2 linked regions of the Rattus norvegicus genome follow. The protein of the gene in region 2 purifies or fractionates together with the protein of the main gene of each other region. This does not show direct contact. Links are inferred from orthologs where the notes say so. Each region holds a gene or a part of one and is shown on either strand. Other genes may lie near its edges.

The links.
Region 1: the proteins of Tubgcp3 (region 2) and Lgals3bp purify together in Homo sapiens (affinity purification with mass spectrometry; 4 studies listed by BioGRID and IntAct, counting the BioPlex papers as one, with this or other methods). This does not show direct contact. The link is inferred for Rattus norvegicus from reciprocal best matches to the Homo sapiens genes TUBGCP3 and LGALS3BP.

The regions. Positions count from the first base shown.
Region 1 is NC_086028.1:104,124,745-104,129,314, forward strand, and holds the start of Lgals3bp (galectin-3-binding protein precursor), read right to left. Parts: upstream 3,105-4,570; 5' UTR 2,970-3,104; intron 1,262-2,969; 5' UTR 1,241-1,261; coding exon 1,189-1,240; intron 1-1,188.
Region 2 is NC_086034.1:83,552,504-83,557,023, reverse strand, and holds the start of Tubgcp3 (gamma-tubulin complex component 3), read right to left. Parts: upstream 3,040-4,520; 5' UTR 2,969-3,039; coding exon 2,893-2,968; intron 1-2,892. UniProt on the Homo sapiens protein: Component of the gamma-tubulin ring complex (gTuRC) which mediates microtubule nucleation.

The sequences.
Region 1 (4,570 bases), on a different chromosome or scaffold from region 2:
GCCCTCTGCTGGTGTGTCTGAAGACAGCTACAGAGTACTTATATATAGTAAATAAAGAAATAAATCTTTAAAAAAAAAAAGGGGGGGGGTTGGGGATTTAGCTCAGTGGTAGAGCGCTTGCCTAGGAAGCATAAGGCCCTGGGTTCGGTCCCCAGCTCCGAAAAAAAAGAACCAAAAAAAAAAAAAAAAAGTTACCCACTGAAGAAGAGTGAAAACTCTGATGAGCCCACAGAGGCCATGGTCTATCTAGCTCTCATCTCTGGGTCTTTTTCTCCAAGAGGACACCTTGGCTCTCAGCCTACTGAGTGAACTTGGGGGGGGGGGGAGAGGCTCTTTCCTGGCTCTCTGAAACGCTGGTATGAAGGGGAAGGTGGGTCCTGGGTTCCTAGACACAGGCAGAGAGCAGATTAACCTCGGCTTACGATGGGTGATGTCTTGACACCCCAGTGCCACCTGTCTCATGGCCTCTGGACTGTCCCCACTCAGCAACAGGACATTGCCATGCTGCCTGCTCCCTCCAAAGTGTGGGGACGAGGGAGCTGTGGTGTGGGGTCCCATTGTAAGAGAGGAGCGGGGTGCACAGCGCTGATATCCCAACTCGCACATACAGTTGCTACCTCATCCCTACAGTGTCTGCCTAGAGGGGACAACACTGGACTAGAGACAGTCTGCCCTCAGGCACAGGTAGCCAAGGGAGTCCTGCTCCCTGCTCTCTGGGACTCCCGTCTCTGTCCATGCCGGCTGGGTGCTTGAATTGGGGTCACCCATGCTAGAGCGAGATACTCAGCTGAGGGTCCAGGATGGGCAAGGCTTTCAGACCCATGGTGCAGTTTGTAAACTGTTCCACAGGGACTCTCTGGCATTCTAGCCTGTGACCTGAGAGCTCAAACTCCAGGACAACACAGGCTGCACTCTCCCTCCTTGGCCCACTGATGAGGTGAAAAAAGATTCCTTGGTCTCTTCTCCAACACCTGCATTTCGGGGAGGGGGCAGGGCCCATACAGGGCCACCATTCAGAATGACTGAGGATCCACATGGCAGAGAATCCTAAGACATGGTGTCTTACAGGATGCCACCTGGCTTTTCTGCAAAGATGGGGAGGGGGTGTGTGTGTGACCCACACAGAACAAGGCACCAAGGCGCACGGTCTTGACTTCTGTTTTGGACCTTTCGCTGAGCAGGACTCACCTTGAGTCCCTGGAACCAGCAAGAACACAGAGAGGAGCCACAGAAGAGCCATTGCCTGACCTGGAAGCCCAACCTGCAGCAGAAGGAACAACAAAGTTAGACTGGCCACAGCTCTCCGGAGGAGACTGGTAGTTCCATGGTCCCCTGTCAAGTTTGTGGAGGACAGGATGGTGTTGTGGGTGGTCCCTCTTCCGTAAGGCCCAGATGGCCATGAGATGACCCTTATGCAGGCCTCTCTCTCACATGCTCTATGGGACAACCTTCAGGACAGTAAGTCTCCCCAGATGAGGCAGGTGGGTTGAGGGCTCCTGGCAACGAGAACCCAGGAAATAGACAAGAGGCTATCCCTCAACGGTTGGTCTTATCTTCAGGCAGCAGCCCCCTTCGGGGTGTGCCCCAAAGGGACAAGATATGCCAGTCTGGGAGGGTGTTGTGGATGAGGTTGGAGCAGGGAACTCTCAGGAGGAAGTGACAGAGACAGTTGCAGAGGTCATGGCGTGATCTGGGGATGAGTGGGAGATGGGTCAGGGTCAACTGCCAAGGTGCTGACACACAGGGACTCAATACTAAGACTCTCTCGCCTGTCTGTAGAATGGGCCCCACCCAGGCACTTTCTCTCGGGCCCTGCATGAAGGGGGCTGACCTAGAGAGCAAAGTGCAGCAGCCCTGGTAGACTCATTCTAGTCCCGAGGGCAGTGAGGTCGGGGCTGGTAGTGGACGGTGCTGTAGAGCTCTGTCTCCTGGGCAGGAACTCAGCAACGAATCTCAAACTGTTTTGTTACTCAGACCAGGGGCCCAGAGACCAGCAGTAGAGGTTATCCCAGGATCAGTAGAAACACCAGGATTGTCCTCCACCCCAGACATTCTGTACCAGAGCAGCACGAGCAAGACCTCAGTGATCCAGGGCTCTTGTAGCCATCTTGGCAAGGGTGAAGATAGTCTAAGACAAACTCGTGCCCTTCCCTTCGGTTATCGTACTACTGAAGCAAGGACAGAACTGGAATTCCCCCTGGGAGTCTCATGCTGAAAGGAGAAAGCTGTTGCCTGGTGACAGCCGGAGGGGAAGCTTGTCTCCAGGAAATATCAGCCCAGTCTGGGATTTACAGCCCAGGCATAGGGCAGACCAGTTAGCTATACATTCCTCTATGTAAACCTCATGTTAATATCCCCTATAGACTCTGGGATGTTAATGGGGGAAGGCCACTGGACTCTTCTCAGTGTGGCTGGCGGAGTCTGGCTACCAGGGGAGCATTCTCACTATAGGCTCTGACCGCTGAACTCTATAACTCGATGATGGGTGGGAAGCTTGATCCTTAGTGCTGTGCACCCAGTCTTATCCCAAGGAGGTCTGGGTTCCGGGAAACCTGAGTCCCAGGCAAAGTGCCCTGGGTGCCCACCCCCTCCATTTACTATAAGCTGTGGTTATAGGGTTTGTCCATGCTGGGTCAGGAACTTTAGGCCTTGGGAACATTGCAGGGTATGTGGACATTTTTGTCCACTGGATGACAGGGGCTGTTTCTGCCTGACTCCTTTGTGTGGGAACTTGGGATGTGCCTGCCTATGCTGGCTCATTCAGTACCACTGTGTAGGTCTGTTTAGTCCTGGGTGAGAATCCACAGACCCAGGAGAAGGCCGAGGGATGAACTGTACCCCACTCACCCCTTCAGTTGTTCTTTCAGTGAACATCCTGCCTAACTGTTTAGAGGCTCTGCAGGTCTAGGTGTTCCTGTGTTCTGCGACCCCCCCCCCCAGAAATTATGCTGTGTAGAGCGGGGACTCACCTGGGAGCAAGAGACAGGTAGTCAGTCACCTGTCCAGGCAGCTGCTGCAGATGGTCCTGGAGCCTCCTTGCTGGCTGCAGCTCGAAGCTTTCTGTAGACTGTTCAGCTGAGAAAGGCCCCACCATGTGGTTTTCCTCAGCCTCTTCCCCGGAAATGCTTTATAAACCTAGTCTAGTTTCGATTTCCAGAAAACACATGACGGAGGCTGCCTCTGGGGTTGGCTGCAGACAAGGCTAATAGCCCTCTGCTTGCTGCTCTGCAGGGAGGATGGCAAGCACCCAAGTGCCCTGTGCTGAGCTGATAAAACAACAATGTTGCGGCTGAACAGATACATGTCCAGGCTGGCCAGGCAGGCACCCTGGGAGGGCAGCTTGGAAGGGGATGGAACAGATATATCCCCTTGCTGGCCTGGTAAGCACAGTGGGGGGCAACTTGTCCAGGCTGGCCAGGCAGGCACCCCGGTGGATGGTGAGAAGATGCTGCAAATGGGCCGGGGAGCAGAGGCTCAGGTCACACAGTGTCTGTGAACATGGATGTGGGCTGCACAATCCTTTCCTGGATCTGGGGAGGCTGGCTGTGCTCACTGCACAAACCTTCCGTGCTCAGAGCATGCTCGGAGGGAAGGTATGTGGGCCACAGAGTGGTCCTGAGGGATGGGAATCGAGATAGAAAACAGGAAGCAGGGCTAGGAGCTAGGGGTGGCTTGCTGGTTAAGAGCATTGCCTACTCTCTCGGGGGATCTGAGTTCAATTCCTGGCACCCATGTTGGTTGGCTTGGAACAGGCTTTAAGTGAACTCCATGGGATCAGACTTTGTAGGCACACACATACACCCAAGTGTGCTCATGCATGCACACACGCAGTGCACATACGTTTAAAATTTAAATCTTAAGAGGTTTCTTTAATACCTGTGGTGGCAAACACCTTCAACTGGGAGGCAGAGGTAGGTGGATCTTTGATAGTTAGAAACTAGTCTGGTTTGCGTTGTAAGTTCTAGGTTAGTCAGAGCTACGCAAAGAAAGCCTGCCTCGAAGGAAGAAAAGGAGAAAAACAAACAAACAAAAAACCCAAAACAACAACAACAACAACAAAACTAACAACAACAGAGATGGTAACCTGCAGCCAGCCAATCTTGACACTGTGAGTTTGATCCCTGGAACTCACTGCAGGAGAAAACTGACTCCTGTAAGCTGTCTTCTGATCTCTGTATGTCTACCATAGCCTGTATGTGCATGCACGTGGACACACACAGTAAATAAATGTGAAAAATTATATAAAATTCAAAGAGGACTGGGAGGTTGCTCAGTGGTTAGGAACACTTGTTCTTCTTGCAAAGAACCCAGGTTCCCTTAGGAACTCCCACATGGTTGCACACAATCACCATAACTCCAGTTCTAAGGGATACAACGCCCTCTCCTGATCTCCATGGTCACCAGGCACATATGTGGTGCACACACATCCATGCAGACAAAACTTCCAAATATATAAAATACATTAAAATTAACCTTATGATAGGTTTATACAGTGACCTAAATCCCAACAGCTCCCTGTGGCTCCCCCAGCTGCCAGCCCCATAAGGTTTACTACCTCAAGACACTCAAC
Region 2 (4,520 bases):
ACAATAGAATATAACCTCCTCATATCACACATGACAAGAGAATATAGCCTCCTCATATCACACATGACAAGAGAATATAGCCTCCTCATATCACACATGACAATAAAATATAACCTCCTCATATCACACATGACAATAGACTATAGCCTCCTCATATCGCACAAGACAATAGACTATAACCTCCTCATATCGCACATGACAATAGACTATAACCTCCTCATATCGCACAACACAATAGAATATAGCCTCCTCATATCGCACAAGACAATAGACTATAACCTCCTCATATCGCACATGACAATAGAATATAGCCTCCTCATATCACACATGACAATAAAATATAACCTCCTCATATCACACATGACAAGAGAATATAGCCTCCTCATATCACACATGACAATAGAATATAGCCTCCTCATATCACACATGACAATAGAATATAGCCTCCTCATATCACACATGACAAGAGAATATAGCCTCCTCATATCGCACATGACAATAGACTATAACCTCCTCATATCACACAAGACAATAGAATATAGCCTCCTCATATCACACATGACAAGAGAATATAGCCTCCTCATATCACACATGACAAGAGAATATAGCCTCTCCTAGGGAAAAAGATGAAAAGAGAGAAATCTTCATGACTTTGTGGAGTTCTTCATGCAACACCCAAATCATAATCATTTTAAGTGTTTTTTTTCCTCTTCCGGGGAAGGAGTTGGGGGGCAGAGTAAAACTCAAAGGATTGCTTTTGGGGATCTATTCTTGCCTCCCTCCTTGTGGAGAAAGCGGCCTCTCCTGCTGTTTTTATCATTGGAGCAGCAACTCCAGGCTAGCTGGTTCTTAATGCTCTCCTGTCCATCTCCCACACTTCCTTAGGATGCTGTTATTACAAATGCACTCGACCATGCAAAGCTCTTCCATGGGTTCTATAGCCTGGAGAGCAAGTGCTCTTACCTGCTGAGCCATCGCCCTGCCCCCTCCCCTTTCAATGTGGATAAACTGGGATTCATCACGATTTTAGGGCTAGAGAGAGGGCTCCACAGTTAAGAACACTATTGCTCTTCCAAAAGAGTAGCATCCAATTCCCAGCACGGGGCAGCTCACAATCATCTGCAACTGGGTTCCAGGAGATCCTGCACCCTCTTCTGACCTCTGCAGACAAGGTGTACAGACAGATGTACAAGTAAAATACCCTTTTCAAAAATCTCTACATGAAAAAAAGCCTTTTAAAAAGTTTACTCTGCAAAGAAAAAAAAACTGTTAAGAGTTAAAATACTGGAAGGGAAAAAAAGTTTTCAAAACAGAAAACAAAGGACTTGGACCCATATAAACAAAGAACATTAAAAATTTTAAGGGTAGGCAATCTAGCAACAACATAAGTTATGAAAAAAAGAGACAAAATACAACCGTAGGGAGAACTGAACGGCCAAACAAGAAGTCATGAAAAGACGCTGGGCAGCATCAGGGAAGAGATGAAAACAAGCTATTGCTACACACCTGTCAGAACAAAATGGCAACAAAGTGTGTGAGGACTGAGAATCCGGAGGACTCTGTGTCTCTCAACCCCATCAACAGCCAAGGCAGCATCATCCTTAATGAGTTTTATGGAATATTTTATCCTGGATCTCTCTGAAAGACCAGTGATTCACAAGACATGATCACAAATGGGAGTGGGAGAACGGGAGGATGCCAAATTTCAAAGTGGCATTTCAATCACGTGTAGGCTGTGACGCTTCTATCAAAAGGGATCTTAATGTAAAATTCAAATTTAGAAATTCATACTGAATAACTTCAAAATCCAGTTATAACCGCAAGGTTCTTTCTGGAAGGTAAAAATTCTGGACCCAGTGCAATAAAGGAAAAATGACAGTATGGTGTGTTAACTCATACCTTAGCTATCTGATTTCGCCTAAGACTGGGTCACTTCCATCAGAAAAGTAAACTGTCCTCTCCACTCACACTCTCCCCAGATGCTGGAACGACCCTCACTCACTCTTACCAGTCGCTGGAATAGGGGCTTAAATTCCCCATCTTACTTACTTTCCCCCAAAAGACTTCCTTTCCCTCTAAGCTCCTCCTATCCACCCACCCCCAGCGCTTTATCTCTTACACTGTGTTCACCAACGCACTAGTCACATTCCCTCCATTAGATAGGAGCATTTCTTATGGCATAATAGGAGCGAGGGAGACTCAAAGATTTCTTACAGGAATAAACTGCACAGTGAAACACTACAAAGTATAAAGCAAGAACTGTGCTAAGTCAACGGTTTAGTGGTGACAGAGTAATTCATCCTCTACCCCGACAAGTTGTTGCAAATTACGAAAGATCAAAAGGCTCCCTGAGTTTTTAAAATGCAATTCTGTTTAAAGTCTTCCTTGAAAACCGGAGCAATTTGTCTCTAACGTGTAAGGAACTTGTAACCCAGTCACGTCAATTACTAAAGCCTTTTCTCATTACGCGTCCCCATTCAACTCCAAAATGAGCTTCAAGAAACCAGATCCTTGACATTTTTTCCCCCAACTACCGCGGCAACAATACGGATAAAGTAAGCAGAACTGACTTGGGGTCTGGCTTCTTAGAAGCACTATTCGCTACTTGAACTCTGCAGGAATAAGCTAGCACCATCCAACCTGGACATCACCAGAGGCAAAGGTGACAGCAGAATGGGAAGCACGCAGAAGCAGAGCTGCAAGCCACGCTGTTCTCTGGACCCGGGAGCAAAAACCAAACCCTGGTGCTAGAGCAGCTCCCGCCCTGCCCCTCAGGGCAGGGACAGTCCGCGAGCCGCACCCCTTTCCTTCCAGGGGGCCCGGGGGAACAGCACCCGGCCGGCGGGGGTCATGGCGCTCAGCCTCCACAGTCCTCGGCCCGGCTGCACGTACCTTCGCTCCGGCCTAGGATCCGGCAGCACAGGTTCTGCAGCAGAACATTGGGCGACTTCTGATCCGGTGTCGCCATTACCGCTCCCGGACTGCGCACTGCAGCCTCCCCGTACCCCAGGATCTCGCGCCCTGACTACGGCGCCGCCATATTCGCGGAAGCGGCAAAAGCGCGCGCCTCCCATAATGCACCGCTTCCCGCGCGAGGCGCGCATGCGTCTCCTCTGCGACTGCGCTCGCAGCTTCTCCGCGCCGGAAGGGTCACCGCAACGCCGGAGCGGTTGCTGGGCGACGCTCGCGGTAACTAGTTCCCGGGACTGCAGTGCGCTTCCGCAGCTTGCGGTCTGGGCGCCTCTTGTGAACAGCACTGGTTGGAGTTACATCTGGATGCCGAGTCCGAGCGCGCTTGAGCCCCAGGACAGTGACAAGAGCTAAGCTGCTACGCAAGGCTCTCACAAGTGAGTTATCTGGGGTCTGGAACCTCAGCACCTTGACGTCACCAGCAGGTAGTCCTGGAAATGGGGAGTTCTGAGATGGAGATGCTTGATGGAGATGCTCGCGGAGCTGTGCTGCAATGGAAAAATCGGACGCAGACAGGAGAAGATCCATGGTGTCTGGAACGCAGAAAGAAGAGAGTCCTCTTCGCTTGGGAACCTAGCTCCGCCGCCCCTGCCGGGGTGCTCAGTGGTCGGCAAATGAAAGCTCCTTTCTTGGCCACTGACTCAGGACTATGATGGCAGCGGAACTCACCGGGAGTTTAATGGAGAGCATGCCCTTATCCTTCTTTTGTTCGCAGACCGCTTAGCCACCCTTCCCTGTCCGCTCTATGATATACAGAATGCTAACGCACTCCTTGGACAAATGGTACCTAGTGGGGGCTCAGCCTGTTGAAGCCAACGATGGAAAACTGCAAGAGGGGACTTCCGGCTTCAGCCTGGAATCTGACTATGACTCTTAACAAGCTGAGATTCAACGCCTCTGCTCTCAGCCCATTCTTCCTCGCTGCAACCTACTTTGTATCACCCACACAGGTGATGCCCCAATCAGAAGGTCTAGAATAAGGCCATATGACTAACGTCAGGCTTTCCTGGTGTTTCCTCCACCCCGGGAGCAAGAGCAAACCTTCAGGTGTTCCACTTTTGTTTCCATCAGCCACATAACCAGATCTCCATCCGACGTCTCTGTAGACTCTGTTTTGTTGACTGGGTCCTAGCACACCTCCTTTGGTAATAGGAGTGATCCCAGCAAGAAGTCTTAGCATGGCTTTCTGAACTGAACACCCCCACATCTAACTGCAGATGTATTGACAATCTTTTGATTGAGTCAGGAAAAGCTAGAGTGGTTTGCTAGTCAGTGTGGCTATTTGAGGTGAAATGTCAGCTGGTAGATGAAAACACTTAGAAAGTTAAATAGCTGCTCCAGACAGGCGTTTGGATAGGAACATGGTCTTGACGGCAGTTGGCGGCTGTTGTCACCAAGCCTGATGACTTGAGTTCCTCAGGAACCGTACTGTAGGAGAAAAGCAGCTACCTCAGTTGGTCCCCTGACCTCCACATGTTTGCTCACACACACAAAATGAACTTTAAATTTTTTTTAAAGTAATAACCACATGACCTAGCAGGAAAATAGAA